2 linked regions of the Canis lupus familiaris genome follow. The protein of the gene in region 1 binds, or shares a complex with, the protein of each later gene. Links are inferred from orthologs where the notes say so. Each region holds a gene or a part of one and is shown on either strand. Other genes may lie near its edges.

Region 1 (7,051 bases):
ACAAATACAGTGGTTAATTTCAAGCTACCAACAATTGAACTTATATAATTCCTGAAAATGGAACAATCAGCTAGCTTTTAAGAGCTGTCCCAGGGTCCAGTCTTGTACTGCTAACAGTTCTACTTTAAATAAATCAGTGCTTTTGTCCTAGCAACCTAGAGGCCATTTTGGGGGAAAAAACACAAATAGAAAAAAACAACAACTGGATTTCATTTTCCAAAACCACAATTACTTACCTGGGGGATATTTGTGCCATTGGAGCTTGGAGTCAGATTGGACTCATCACTCTTAGTCATGCTGATTTCTGTGCAGTACTTGCTTTTCTTTCTTTCTTTTTCTTTTTCTTTCTTTCTTTCTTTCTTTCTTTCTTTCTTTCTTTCTTTCTTTCTTTCTTTCTTTCTTTCTTTCTTCTTCTTTCTTTCTTTCTTCCTTTTTAATTGAAATTTTTACTGGGATAATTGTAGATTCACATGCAATTGGAAGAAATAATCAAAGAAATTCCTTGTACTCTTTGGCCAGTTTCCTCCACTGGTAACATTTTTGGATATTTGGCTCTTTATCATAGCAACAGCTAAAAATGCAGTTTCACAAAGATGTGACTCATCAAAAGGAACACAGCGCTGTCTTGTGTTGAACCTGTGAACTGTCTTGAACGTGTAGCTCATGGGATGTCTGACCCATGTCCTGTGTGTCTCCCTCAAGACTTAAAATATCCCCATGGTGTTCCCTTTGAGTTCACTGTGATGCTCTGGGGTGCCTGGGTGCGTGTGTTGGTTTTCTAGGGGATGCTGTAACAAAGTACCACAAACTTTGGGTGGCTTAAATGAAGGAATTTATTATCCCACTGTTTTGGAGGCTAGGAGTCCAACATGGAAGCAACCGTTGGCAGGGAGGCATTTTCCCTATGTGTGTGTCTGTGTTCAAATTTTCCATTTGCATAAGGACACTGGTCTTATTGGATCAGGGCTCACCCTAATGACCTCATCTTAACTTGATTATCTCCGTAAAGACCCTGTCTCCAAATAAGGCCACATTCTGAAGTCGATTAATGCTTAAACATATAAATTTGCAGGAGGCAGGGGGCGGGGACACTATCCAACCCATAATGGCACACAAATTGAGAAATGCAGTCTTTTAAAAAATTTTTTAAATTTATTTTATTTTAAAATATTTTATTTATTTATTCATGAGAGACACACAGAGAGAGGCAGAAACATAGGCAGAGGGAGAAGCAGGCTCCCTACGGAGAGCCTGATACAGGACTTGATCCCAGGATCCTGGGATCATGACCTGAGCTAAAGGCAGAGCCAATTACAGAGCCACCTAGGCACCCCCTCTGCTTTTTCAAAGTTGGCTCCACACCCAGCGTAGAGCCCAACATGGGGCTCAAACTCAGGACCCTGAGATCAAGACTTGAGCTGAGATCAAGAGTTGGATGCTTAACAAAGTGAGCCACCCAGGCGCCCCTGGGAAACATAGTCTTAAGCAATTCATGTATTCATTTGATCTGCATGTTTTATTGAGAACTTACTCTGTGCTAGGCACACAAAGACAAAAATCTGCCCTTGTGGAGCTTCCAGTTTAATTGGAGAGTCAGCATTCCCCAAATAAGTAAAGATGAATACAGAAATGAAGACAGGTTGGAAGTGGTTTCATGCATAACCAGACCTATGGCTTCTAATGGTGTCAGAGCTCATTCTCACCGTCGCTCAGTCTCTTGTCTCCACTTTGTCTACTGACCTGCCCCTCCCAGGACCCTCCGTGTGATGCGGATTATGACAGCTCAAGTCCTAGAGTCCCATCTATCCAGCTCATGTGTTTCCCCCAAAATACTGGGAAGGGATTTAGACTGGCTCAGCTTGGGTCAACATGTCTATCTCTAGGACAATGACTGTGATTGTCGGGGCCTGGGTCACGTGCTGGCAGCGTGGCTTGTTGTGTTTGGAAGCCAGAACCCCGTGGAAGGCTAAGCGTTGTTAGCAGAAGAAGGGTAGAACAGATGGCTGCTACACTCAGCCACTCACCCTCTCTTGGTGCCTCAGTCTCTCACACACTCAGCCAACAAATAGGTATCATCCTCTTTCCTCCAGATCCAGGAGTGGGAGACCCGGATCTCTGTTCCTAGTAAGGATGTCAGGGCTTCCGGACTCATCCTGGATCAGAAGGTCAAGATTCAGCGAAGGATCAAAATCCTAGAAGACCAGTTGGACAGGGTGAGGGGTCAGCTTCTTGACTCTTTCCAGACCTGATCTCTGGGGGTTGGAGGGGAAACTGAGCATGGGGTCAAGTTCCAGAAATGATGGGCCAGAGTCCTGGAGGGAGGCAGGCCTGAAACACTGGGCTCCCAGAGAAGGATCAGGAGACACAACCCTGGAGGGATTGGAGGGTCAACCCAAGGAAAGGAGACTGATGCTTGGGTTCTTAGGGCAGTTGGACAATGCTCTAAGGATCCCCAGATTGGGAACAGGTTCCACATGTGACAAGTGCCCTCTCCTTGGCTGAGCATGGATGAGGGAGATAGGTCGAGTCTCAGACAGACTTTTGTACCTGTCCCCCCACCCCGCCCCCCAGGTCACCTGTCGCTTTGACATCCAGCTGGTACGGAATGCGGCCCTGCGGGAGGAGCTGGATCTCCTGCGCATCGAGAGGAGCCGCTATCTGAATGTGGATCGCAAGCTGCAGAAGGTCAGTGGCCCTGAACCCTGGGACCCCTTGGCCCAGCCCAGGTAGAGGAAGGAGGAGGCAAGAGTTACCCCACCACCAACAACACTCTGACCTCAAATATGGAATCGGCCAGAGTCATAGGTTTACTTTGGTCCAGAGGGAATGGAGGCCACGAAAATGTTCCAGGTTGCCTCTAACAAAGAAAGCAGCCTCGTTTAGACTTGCAGAAGCCAGAGATGTCACTTTGAATATCATCAGCCAGGGCAGTCAGTGGATGAGCAAGCAAGACAGTTGACATTCTGTGGGTATCTCCAGAACCTTTACTGTCTCTTGAGGACCCTTCCCTTTCTCCTCCACTTTCCCTGCCCTGAACGAATAGTACAAGGAACTCTGTCCTTCACCCAGACTGATAATCTGCCATATTTATATACACACACACTCTAATTAGTATTTTTTACTGAAAATAATTTATTATTATGATTGCTGAACTATTTGAGAGCGCACTGCAGACATTATGCCCCTAAGAACTTCAGGGTGTATGTCCTAAGAATAAGACCATTTTATTCTTATTCTTTTTTAAAAAAAGATTTTATTTATTTATTTGTTTGAGAGAGAGAGAGAGAGAGAGAGAGCGCGCACGCACAAGCAGGAGGAGGAGCAGAGGGAGAGGGAGAAGCAGATACCTTGCTAAGCAGGGAGCCTGATGTGGAACTCCATCCCAGGACCCCAGAATCATGACCTGAGCCGAAGGCACTCAACCACTGAGCCACCCAGACGCCCCAATGTTATTACAATTCTGAATAGTCCCTGTTTACGGTTCTCTGATGGTCCTTTATAACTAATTTGATTTTCCTGTTCCGGGCTCCAAGCCAGGGTTCCACACTGCTTTTGCTTGTCCAGGCTCCGTTTATCTGGAACCATCCCTTGGCCCTTCTTTGTCTTCATGACTTTGATATTTTGGAAGCCCGTCGTGTTGTACGAAGTCCCTCAATATGGTTTGTCTGATTGATCTTCGCGATGAGATTCGTGTTGCACATTTTGGGAGGAGTATCACAGAAGGGATGTTGTATGCTTGGTGCACATTATGTAGGAGGCACATGATGGTAGTTGGTCCCATAACTAGTGATGTTGACTTTGGTCCCTTGGTCAGCCATGTTTCTGTAGGGCAATTTTCCCTTTGTGATGAATAAGTGGAGAGTCTCGAAGACCATGTAAATATCTTGTTCCCCAACACCTTTTTACTCGGTTGTTTTGGTGTCCATTAATGATCTTGCCCAAATGATTGTCACTAGCTGCCAAATGGTGATTTTTTTTTCTACCTCTATCATTTCTCCTATACTTGTAAGGGAGCATTTTAAGGAAGAGCTTTTCATTCTCCCCTGTGCATGTGTGTGTTATCAGTAAGCATTTGGATTTTTATTTCACTCTGCGGTGGTCATCATTCATGATGATGTTCAACTTGTCCCAGATTTGGCTAGTGGGAGCACTTCAAGCTGCCTTCTGTGTGCTTTTGATGTGCCCCATGGTTGTTGGTTATTTTTTTTTTAAGATTTATTTATTTATTTGAGAGAGAGAAAGAGAGAGGGCACATGCACACATGAGCAGGGGGATGAGGCAGGGGAAGAGAATATCCACGCAGACTCTCACTGAGCATGGAGCTGGATGTAGGGCTCAGTCCCACGATCCATGAGAGCAGGACCTGAGCTGAATCCAAGAATCAGACACTTAACTAACTGAGCCACCCAGACACCCCTTGTGGGTTCTTTTTGAACATTTCCTTACTTTCTGGCACAGGAAGATAGTCCAAGTTCTTCTGCTCTTGTTCTGCCCCTACCTAGGAATTAGCCCTTTCTCCAAGGAGTCCTGGTTCCCTCTGATAGGAAGGAGGTTTTGAGAAATGAAGACACAGGTACTGCTAGCATCCTCTTTGCTACCAGGGCATCATTGCTTTGAGGCCCTCTCTCTGGAGACAATTAAGGAACACACACATATATTATGAAACCATGATTTCACATTGATTCCCCCTAATTCCAATCCAGCCTTACTGGGTAGGTTATTCCTGAACATTCCCCATTTTCATCTTTTCACTGCTCTTGTCTCCCACAGTAGGAAGACTGGCTCTCAATAGCATTGGTATACTTACTCATTTGCTCAGTCCTACAGTGTACACGAAAGAGGTCTATAGTTGTTACCACTGTACTTCCACCTCCTGAATTTAAGAAGCAGAATTCAAGATATGAAGTGTGTTTTGCCCTCTGAGGGTATGGAGATCTAGCTATCCATCCAAAATTATTGTATTCACAAGGCACTTGAATTAATTCCTTTTTTCTTTTTTTTGTCTGTGTGTGCTCTTGTCTTTTTGTTGCAAGTACAGTTAGGTTCATTTGCTTCTATTTTTTTTTTAATTTTTAAAAAATTTTTTAAAATTTATTTATGATAGTCACAGAGAGAAAGAGAGAGAGGCAGAGACACAGGCAGAGGGAGAAGCAGGCTCCATGCACCGGGAGCCCGATGTGGGACTCGATCCCGGGTCTCCAGGATCGCGCCCTGGGCCAAAGGCAGGCGCCAAACCGCTGCGCCACCCAGGGATCCCTGCTTCTATTTTTAAAAAGATTTTATTTTATTTTTTTTGCACGTGTGTGTGTGTGTGTGAGAGAGAGGGGGGGGGCACAAGTGGGGTGGAGCAGGGAAGAAGGAGAAGCAATTGGGGAACCCGACATGGGACTCAGTCCCAAGACCCTGGGATCATGACCTGAGCTGAAGGCAGGTGCTTAACTGACTGAGCCACCCAGGCGCCCCTGAATATTTAACCCTTTAAGAGGGGTTTCCAAATGAAAACTACTCCAGAAGGTATCTCAGAGAAACACTATTTCCTCTCCATCTCTTCTACTTCATTCTGTGTGTGTGTGCACATGCGTTTATATACATATGTATATGAATGACTACATGTGTATACATTATATATGTGTATATTTGTATATTGTATACATAATATATATATACACACATGCATGTGCACACACATACACACTATATATACTTTCCTCCCTTCTTTCTCCCAAAAGAACCCTTTTTACCCATCTACTGCAAAGACATTTCTTTGGAACTGGAAAACAGATCCGTGTGGTCACCATTATGAAATCCACAAAAATTTCTGCACCAGTCCACAAAGTTAGGTCGATGCTCTTAGGAATGTTCTTGGATGAGGGTTTTACTGGGAGAGGCCTTCTTTTTTTTTTTTTTTTTTTTAATTTTTATTTATTTATGATAGTCACAGAGAGAGAAAGAGAGAGAGGCAGAGACACAGGCAGAGGGAGAAACAGGCTCCATGCACTGGGAGCCCGATGTGGGATTCGATCCCGGGTCTTCAGGATCGCGCCCTGGGCCAAAGGCAGGCGCCAAACTGCTGCGCCACCCAGGGATCCCTGGGAGAGGCCTTCTGAGGCGGCATTCCAGCTCATCAGTTTGGGTTTCCTGTACCTGGTACCTATAAGATCCCTTTCTCTGGTGACTGCTCATTGGGAAGGTCCACATATTTGGAAGGAGCAGGAGTCCCCGTTCTTCAGGGGGCCACGGGGCCTTAAACGAATGCCCTACAGTGGGGAGGCTGTAGGAAGAACCTTGGTTTTGTTCTCTTGCAGGAAATCAAGCTTCTGCGACACATGGTCAGCTCCCTCATGGTCTCCTCTGCAGCTGCCTACACTGTCAGGTAGGGCGCCACCAAGGCCTTCCGGGGATGCACTGTGCTCACACCGTACCGTACATACCTTGCAGGAGGGTTCAGGACTCCAGAAATATACTGTTAAGACTTTTTTTTTTTTTTTTTAAACAAAGTACACCTCTCTGTCCTCCATGGATATTCCAGTTCCTTGGGCAAGGTCCCATTCATTGGTTATATGGATAACCTCTTTGGCTCCAGTCTATTCATGGAACTTAACACTCAGAGTGTGTGGAGAATGTATCAAGATGGTACATGTGGTGCCATCTTGGTGTCAGGAGCCAGGGGCTGGGGAAGCATCAGGCCCTGAGAGTAGATTGTTACTTATCAGTATTGGCTGAAAGAGACAGAGATCATCTCAGGCCACCTTCAGACGGAGTTATGTAGTGTGGAATCCAGAAGTACTTGCTGTTGTGCATGTATTGGCTTGTCTCTGCCTCGGGGGCTGGTAGGGACTCCCTGCTCTCTCTCACTCCAGCTCTGCTTCTTTCTGAGCTTCCGCCTGCCCTGGTCGATTGCTCCCAATGGTTTCCTGTGTCCTCCTATTCATCCTGTCTGGTATCTTCTTTCTATCTTGTGACTGCTGCTTACTTATGGCACATGACTCCTCATGACCTTTGTGATAGCCCAAATCTACCTTATGGTTACTGGGATTTCTTCCTTTTTTGT
Region 2 (7,729 bases), on another chromosome or scaffold:
AGCATGGCAGGACCCATGGGATTTCTTGTTTGGCCCTGTGAAGCAGAGAAACAGCTTTCTTATTCAACCTGCTGACATAATGGCTGTTGCAATGATTACTTCTCATGTATCACATCTTAATTCACAACTACATAAGATGTAAGAATATTATCCTTAGTAAACCTTAAGTATTTGCATTTATCCACCAGTCACTTGATCATATTTTTTAAATGTTATCTACAAATATGTTAACACCAATAAATGTCAGTATATTTTGGGAATACAAAATTTTATTTTATTTTTTTATTTACTATGCCTTCACAGGGGTTCTCCACAATGGGGTTGTTGCAAGGGAACTGAGAACTCATCCTTGCTCAGGCAAATTCTCATGCTCCCCCTCCCTTAGCACAAATAATAGAACATGGACCGTGTTAACCAAACTTCAAAGATATAGACAGAGGGATGATAGATACAGAAATCCAGAAACAAAAATAGTCATGAATATAGGGAGAGAGAGAGAGAGAGAGATTATGTAATTTACAGTCTAGTGGGGAGAAGAGATCAGAGAAAGAAAGTAATCATGGTAGCAAGTGCTAGAAGGAATTGGGGTCCTGAGGCAGAGAATGACGGTTGGGTAGAGAAGGATTCACTTTACACAGGGAAGTAAAAAACTCTCCCAAGAGTTGCCTTTGGAGATGGGTCAGGAATGTAGAGTTCTGGGGCAGACAGCTGGGTGGCTGGAGGTACTGAAGGCAGGTTGTCACACAGGGTAGCAGCAAAGACAAGTGGCAAGAGAGAGTAGTAGAGATTCAACCCCCCAAACAGTTGGCTAAAATCACCTCCAAATTTCTCATCATTCTCTCTACACAATAAAATTGGTAAAATTGAATTTGTTATGTAGATAACTAACCTTTACACTAAAGGTTTGTAATTGACTTGAAAATCAATTCTATGATGTCATTTCCTAAACTGCTTCCAAACACCTTTATCATAAAAGGTCCTCATGAAGTAAAAGACTTTAATCAATTCAAGACTCAAGCTATTTATCATGGCAAAACTCCAATTAATTGTGAGTCAAAGGGAAGACAGTTTTGCATGAAAAATTAAAGGAAACATTTATAGCATTGATAGTCACTTTACTGTACTTTTATATTTATAAAAACATCCGTTACAAAGTGGAATTTTGGAAAGTTCTGTGATTGTATCATGCAGAGTAAAATTTGCATACAGTACAGATTAAATAGGGTTTTTTATTATCCTACTATTGATTGATTTGATATGAGGTAACTGTTCAGGCTTAATTACTTACTCTGAAAAAGCCCATGAGGGAGGAAGTGATCCTGTGTCTACTCAACACAAGCAACTGAAAACTACAAATAGGAATTTCAATTTGCTTTGAAATGAGATTAACTAACACTATCAGGCCTATAGCTTGTTTCTGAAGTCTAAAAATATTAAGTTCAAAACTTCACAAGAATGTAATGAACGCACTGAAGTTTTCCAGTATGATGAGTGACTTTGTCCACTCTCTTAGAGAAGTAAGTTTCACATAACAACGCATTTGGAAATTTTTCACTAAAAGAAGAAAGAACTTGAGGAAGGGGAGAAACGGGAAAAGAGTACCACAAAATGTTCTTAGCAGATTAAAGGATTTTTGCCTGGCAGAAAAGATTTGACGCTTTCAATCTCAGTCTTCTGTGGTATTTTCCTTACATCCTTTTTTCTACTTTAAGGGAAGATGGCTGCTGGGTCCCAAGCCTGAAGCTTGTGAAGAGCTGATTAGCCCAGCCATAGATGCTCACCAACAAGCTTTCAGGGTATGATGTCTGTGAAAACACCTGGACATGCCCATCCGTGTGCTTCCCACTGGTGGAGACCTGCTCTCTAAGACATGCCAGCACAGAATCTGATCAGAACACCTAATGCATGGTTTTTAACAGACCTGCCAGCACAAAGACAGGTGGGGCCCATGGCTTCTCTTATTTACTACTGACAGCCACTCTTCTGGGTCCTTGCCTTTTAAAATGAGTACTGTAGTAATCTCTATAAATGAAATATTTACTGTACAATACTGTCATTGAACAAAAGTCACTAGGGTTTCACAGGTGAGTGTAATTAGAATGTTTGGTCCTTTCCATTTTTTTTTTCTCTACAATCTGATTGGAAGTGTCACAGCTGCTAGACAAGAGGACCTATAGGAGTATTATGTAACCAGAGAATGGTTGCAAACTCAAAATCATTATCATTTCCTATTGGTTAACTGTTCTCAGAGAATTTGCTTTAGGATAACACAGTCCCTGCCTTCACGGAGCATCCTTGACTCAGGTTTCCAACAGCAGCCCAAACCTTCATTTGACAAACAAATGGCACAAGGAGACAAACTCAGAGACCTCGATACTGGAACTATTTCATTCTGGACTGTTACTCATGGAAGGCAGAATTTTTCTTTCAGTCTAACGATGACACTGCATATACTATGAAATAATTTGTCGTCTTATTTATTTGTGAGAGAGAAAGGCAGAAAACTAGTCGAGGGGATGGGCAGAGGGAGAAGAACAAGCAGACTCCCTGCTGAGCTGGACCCTTTGTAGTGCTTGATCCCAGGACCATGAGATCATGACCTGAGCGAAAGCCAAGAGTCAGCCCTTAACCGACTGAGCCACCCAGGCACCCCTGAAATAATTTGTTTTCAAAAGCATTTTCCCATCTGAAATAAAACAAGTAGACACACTGGAGAATACTGTAGGATTCGTGCTACCGGCTGAGCTATCCCATTTTAGTGCTGTCTTAATTCAAAGAGGGTCCCATCTGTGGTTAAGAAGAGCACAAAGTCCTCCCACATTAAAGGACACAGACTCATCTTTCAAATAAGTAAAGGTCCAGATTTACTAGGATATTTTTCAGAAAATGAAGGTTTTCGAAAAGCAACCCCACACAGAAGTGGCAGTTGTCAACATGGCTCTTGGGGACTTCGCCGTTTGACTGGCTTAGCATTGCCCATGGCCTTCCCCGGATTCCACCGACCGCCTCACTTCCACCTCTAAGAAGGAAGGAGGGAGGGGGAAGAACTATTCCAAGTCCCTTTGGCTCCCACACCACCACCAAAATCCTAAGGGCGTCTCGGTCCAGGCTACGTCCAGGCAGCAGAGCAGAAGCGGACACCCAGGAGTGGTTCGGCTTTAGGGCCAGCTCCTCAGCCCCACACCCCGCCAAGCCCTGCTGGGGGGTCACCGCCTGCGGACTCTCGACGCTCCTCCAGCTGCCCCGGCCCTCCCAGGCGGTTTCCAGGCTCGCTTGGTGCGACGCTCCATCCGCGTGTCCCCCCTGCTCCTAGGCCCTGCGTCACAGGGCGGCCCGTCACGGGGGCTGCGAACCCGGGGAGGCCCCTCGCGCGGGGCGGGGCGGCGAGCCAGGCAGCAGCCACCCGCGGCCGCACCGCCGTTGCCATGGCCACGCCGTGCGTGCGTGTGCGTGTGTCCGCGGCGTCCCGCGCCAGCCAATGGGCGGCCGGCGCAGCGTTGCCATGGTACCGCGCCCGCGTGCGTGGGGTCCCGACCGGCGAGGGTCCGCTCGGCCGCGCGCCCCTGGGCCCCCGCCGCCGCCGCCGCCCGCGCCCAGCCGGCATGAACCGCAAGAAGCTGCAGAAGCTGACGGACACCTTGACCAAAAATTGCAAGAACTGTAAGTAAGGAATCGAGTGCTGGACGAGCAGAGGCTCCTGGCTCGTAGGGCGGCGCAGCCCTGCTTGCCCGTGGCCCTAAGGACCGTACTGCAGGCGCCTGGCACCCGTATGCTCCCACAAGGCTCCGGGTCGCTTCTCAAACCCTCTCCTTATCTTACCTTCCCCTTGTAGACCTTTCCATTTCTATTTCCAAGCACCTTTTCCATTATAGAAACGTCATTGACGCACTGTCACAGCAGGTGTGGTTGTAGCCGCGGATAGTACTGAACCCCGCCGGCCCCAAGGAAACTGGCACCGCCAACGTGTCCCTGCCTTTTAGCTCTTTGTTGTGCCAATAAACCGGCAGGGTCCAAGTTTTGAAAACTTACCAGGAGGTGCATAAGGGAAAATTGGTTGTCAGTAGCTGAACATCCTCAGGAAAGATGAGTTGAAGTGGCACATCTCAGAGCAAGGGAATGTGTCTCGAGACCAAAGAGTTCCACAAAGCCAAAACGCAGTCAAGAATCCGCTCAGTTGCCGGTGGGGTTGTGAGGTAAAGGAGACTTCGTAGGTGACAAAATGAGCACATATTAAAGATATCTGCTCCAATCACACATTCCAAGACGTAGTCCTAGAATTTCATAGGTGACTTTACAATTGTACCCAGACTGAAAAACAGAACTGTACTTGCTCAAGGAAACCCAGATACGGTTTAAAATGAGAAAGATACTGTCTGACAAGCAAGCTTATAAATTGTGTTGCTGATTACAAACTAATGGCCACTTGAGAAATTAGGAGAAGCCATAATTCCAGGACTACCTCCACTGTGCAAAGGAGGAACAGGTGTAACGTAGTTCTAGAGCTTATAGGATCTGGTGCCTTCTAGGCGTATTTAGTATCGAATGTAATGAGTGGTGGGACGCGCCCCCTTGGTGAAGTGGCACTGTAAATAAAATTATGGTGTGTATAAATGCCTCAAACTTCTTAGAAGAAAGTCATCCTATATATTAAGGTATTATTATGGTTATTATAATGTGGTCTTGTTCTGTTGTTGTTTTTCTCCAAATCCATTTCAAGGAAAAGATCAAATCTTAAACATCTAGAGAACATTTTGAATAAGCAGTGCAATAACTGATATACACAGTTTGATTTAGTACCGGTTCAGTAAGTACACCATGAATTGCAAACAGTCATTCTGTGAGCAATCAAAAGGTGAATGTATTAAAAGATAAGTGAAAACCTGGCAGTAAAAAATAGTCAAGTCTTTGATTTTTGTCCTTACGTAAAATTCTTAAAGTGGGCCTTAAAAACCTTGATGATTACCAGTTAAATTCTATAGAAATAGTTACAAGTCATGGGCATTATAATTAAAAATTTTTTTTAATTAAAATTTTTTTAATGGAGAACTTTTCCCCTAAAGTCAAATTTCCTTTTAGTTGCCAGTTGTAATCCCACTAGGATGAAATGGATAAATTCTGTAGAATCAGAGAAAAAAAATACCTTAAGTGATTGCCCACCATTCTACAGAAATGATCTGCAGAACACACTTAGACCAATCCAAAAAGATGAAAATCCATTCTTGAATTTCTCTTAATTTCATTTAGTATTTTATTCTGGAATTTAAAAAACATTTCAGCAAGTAAAACTTTCTTGTGGCTAATCTTGGATCCTTTGGGTAATAAATGAAGATAATATTCTTTAATTTTCATTTTAGCCAAGATGGAAATATGGCTAATAAACAACCTCTCTGCTAAAATTTCATATACATGAGCATCATTTTAAATACAGGCTTTTCTTCTCCAATTACTAGCAAGCTCTTTTATTTTTGGAGGTGTGTGTGTGTGTGTGTGTGTGGTTAAATATATATATATATATATATATATATATATATATATATATATAACAAAAATTTACCATTTTAAGTGTACAGCTCTGTGGCATTAAATACATTCACATTGTTGTGCAGCCATTACCAACATCCATCTCCAGAACTATTTCATCTTTCCCAGCTGAAATTATGCCCATTAAACTATAACTCTTCACTTCTCCTGTCCCCAGTCCCTGGCAACCACCATTCTACTTTCGGTATCTGTGAATTGTACCATGCTTGATACATTATATAAGTGATATCATACAATATTTGTCCTTTTATATCTGACTTATTTCACTTAGCAGAATGTTTCAGGCCTCATCTGTCTTGTAACATGCGTCAAAATCCCCTTCCTTTTCAAGGCTGAATTGCATGCATATACTACATTTTACTTATCCACTCATCTCCTGATGGACACTTAGCTTACTTTCAGCTTTAAGGCTATTGTGAATAATATTGCTATGAACATTGATATACAACTGAGTCCCTACTTTCAATCCTTTTAAGTATATACCCAGAAGTGGAATCACTGGGTTACACAGTACTTCTATGTGTAATTTTTTTTAAGAACTGACATGTCATTTTCTACATCAACTAACAGCTCTTTTTAAAATCATAACCATTATATTGTTTTCTACTATTTAACCACTTTTTTTTACTAAATCATTTATTTCCCCAAATTTTTCAATATTCCTTCTAAATTGTGGTATCCCAAACCAGAAATCACACTCAAGCCTGTCTTGACTTGTAGATCGAGGTATGATTTCTCCATTCCTATCTGCTGTCATCCTTTATATACACACAGATTTCATCATTGTGCTTTAAAGTACTTTTGAAATAAAACATTTCTCATCGTCCACCTATACTTCATATTTAAACTCACTTTTATGGCAGGCAATAACACTTCCACCTATGTACCTCAAATGGGAATTGGAGCACAAATAATTAACTCAGCGGTTTTTTTGTTTTGTTTTGTTTTTGTTTTTGTTTTTTTTTAACTCAGCGTTTATAAACACTCTGTGCATTTATGTGTATGGGCCAGAATATATGTCCGTATATTTATTTTCAATAAAAATTCCCTTCCTCCAAAATACTAAATACCTACATGTTAATATTCACATCAGGTGCAATAAGAACCATAATGGGTGCTGGAATATGGTTAAATGCTTCTTTATTGGAAAATAGGTTTCTGATGTCCAAAATCTGGCTTACTGATTTAACTAAGGCTGATGTGAAGTTAAAATTGTTGCCTAGTGTTCAGGAGTCTGGTATCTATCTCCAGGCAAAAGCGTAGTTGTAAATATCATAAACGCCTATAAGCAAAGTTACCATTCTTAAGCGTTACCTTGCTTACTTTGGATTGCACCTCTACTGCCTTTAAAGTTTAGCATCTGACCTCATAATCGTTATTCAGGTAACTTGGCTATTATTCTTTTCTTCCTAAATGTGACTGAATTTAATATTCAACTCCTCTTTGGAGGAAATGCTCTAGAGAAAGAGAATATTTTAGAAGAGAAACCTCTGTAGTGGCCATCCTTTATTAATTTAGTTAATTTTATTAATTTAAGGGTCACGAATCTTAAAACAGGATAGTCTTCTGTTGAAAACTAATATTTGATGTCCTTGATGTTGTCTATAAACTCAATAATGCAAAATTTAAGTTAGAAATAAAGGTTTAAAATGCATTTTTGTTATATCTTATTTCTTCACAGTTAATAAATTTGAAGTGAAATGTCTTATAGATCTTTTTTATAATTTGATGGGAGAAGTAACAGAGCGGCAAGGTATCACCATTGGACTAGATCGCAATGCATTTCGAAACATCCTGCACATGACATTTGGAATGACAGACGATATGATTATGGACAGAGGTAAGAAGACATACAATATTCAAATAGGCCAGATCCAGCCATAACTGGGAAAAAAAATCTTGGAGTTTAGACATATTCTTGATAGGAAGCTTAATGTTCTTAATTCCCAATTTCACTTGAATATAAAAAATCAATTTGTATGTTAGGGAAGCGTCATAGTGAAGGTGACTCTACCCACTCTATTCTGTGTATTCAGGAAGAGGACAAAGTCCAGCTTGAATAATTAGATTTTCCTTACTTTATACCCAAAAACCTAAAATATTTCTATTTCTACTTCGTAAATATAATAATGAAAACAATGGTTTTAAAAGGACATATAGATTTCCTTATGTCATCAAAAATATTTCA

What was found. Proteins that work in one complex are often made in the same cells at the same time.
Region 2: ODAD1 (region 1) and EFCAB1 share a complex: the UniProt entries of both Homo sapiens proteins name them as parts of the outer dynein arm-docking complex. The link is inferred for Canis lupus familiaris from reciprocal best matches to the Homo sapiens genes ODAD1 and CLXN.

The regions. Positions count from the first base shown.
Region 1 is NC_049222.1:108,597,165-108,604,215, forward strand, and holds part of ODAD1 (coiled-coil domain-containing protein 114), read left to right. Parts: intron 1-2,090; coding exon 2,091-2,213; intron 2,214-2,571; coding exon 2,572-2,685; intron 2,686-6,305; coding exon 6,306-6,373; intron 6,374-7,051. UniProt on the Homo sapiens protein: Component of the outer dynein arm-docking complex (ODA-DC) that mediates outer dynein arms (ODA) binding onto the doublet microtubule. Involved in mediating assembly of both ODAs and their axonemal docking complex onto ciliary microtubules.
Region 2 is NC_049250.1:1,221,895-1,229,623, reverse strand, and holds the start of EFCAB1 (EF-hand calcium-binding domain-containing protein 1), read left to right. Parts: upstream 1-3,533; 5' UTR 3,534-3,602; coding exon 3,603-3,660; intron 3,661-3,819; exon of another isoform or gene 3,820-3,955; intron 3,956-4,029; exon of another isoform or gene 4,030-4,448; intron 4,449-7,222; coding exon 7,223-7,381; intron 7,382-7,729. UniProt on the Homo sapiens protein: Component of the outer dynein arm-docking complex (ODA-DC) that mediates outer dynein arms (ODA) binding onto the doublet microtubule. Seems to regulate the assembly of both ODAs and their axonemal docking complex onto ciliary microtubules.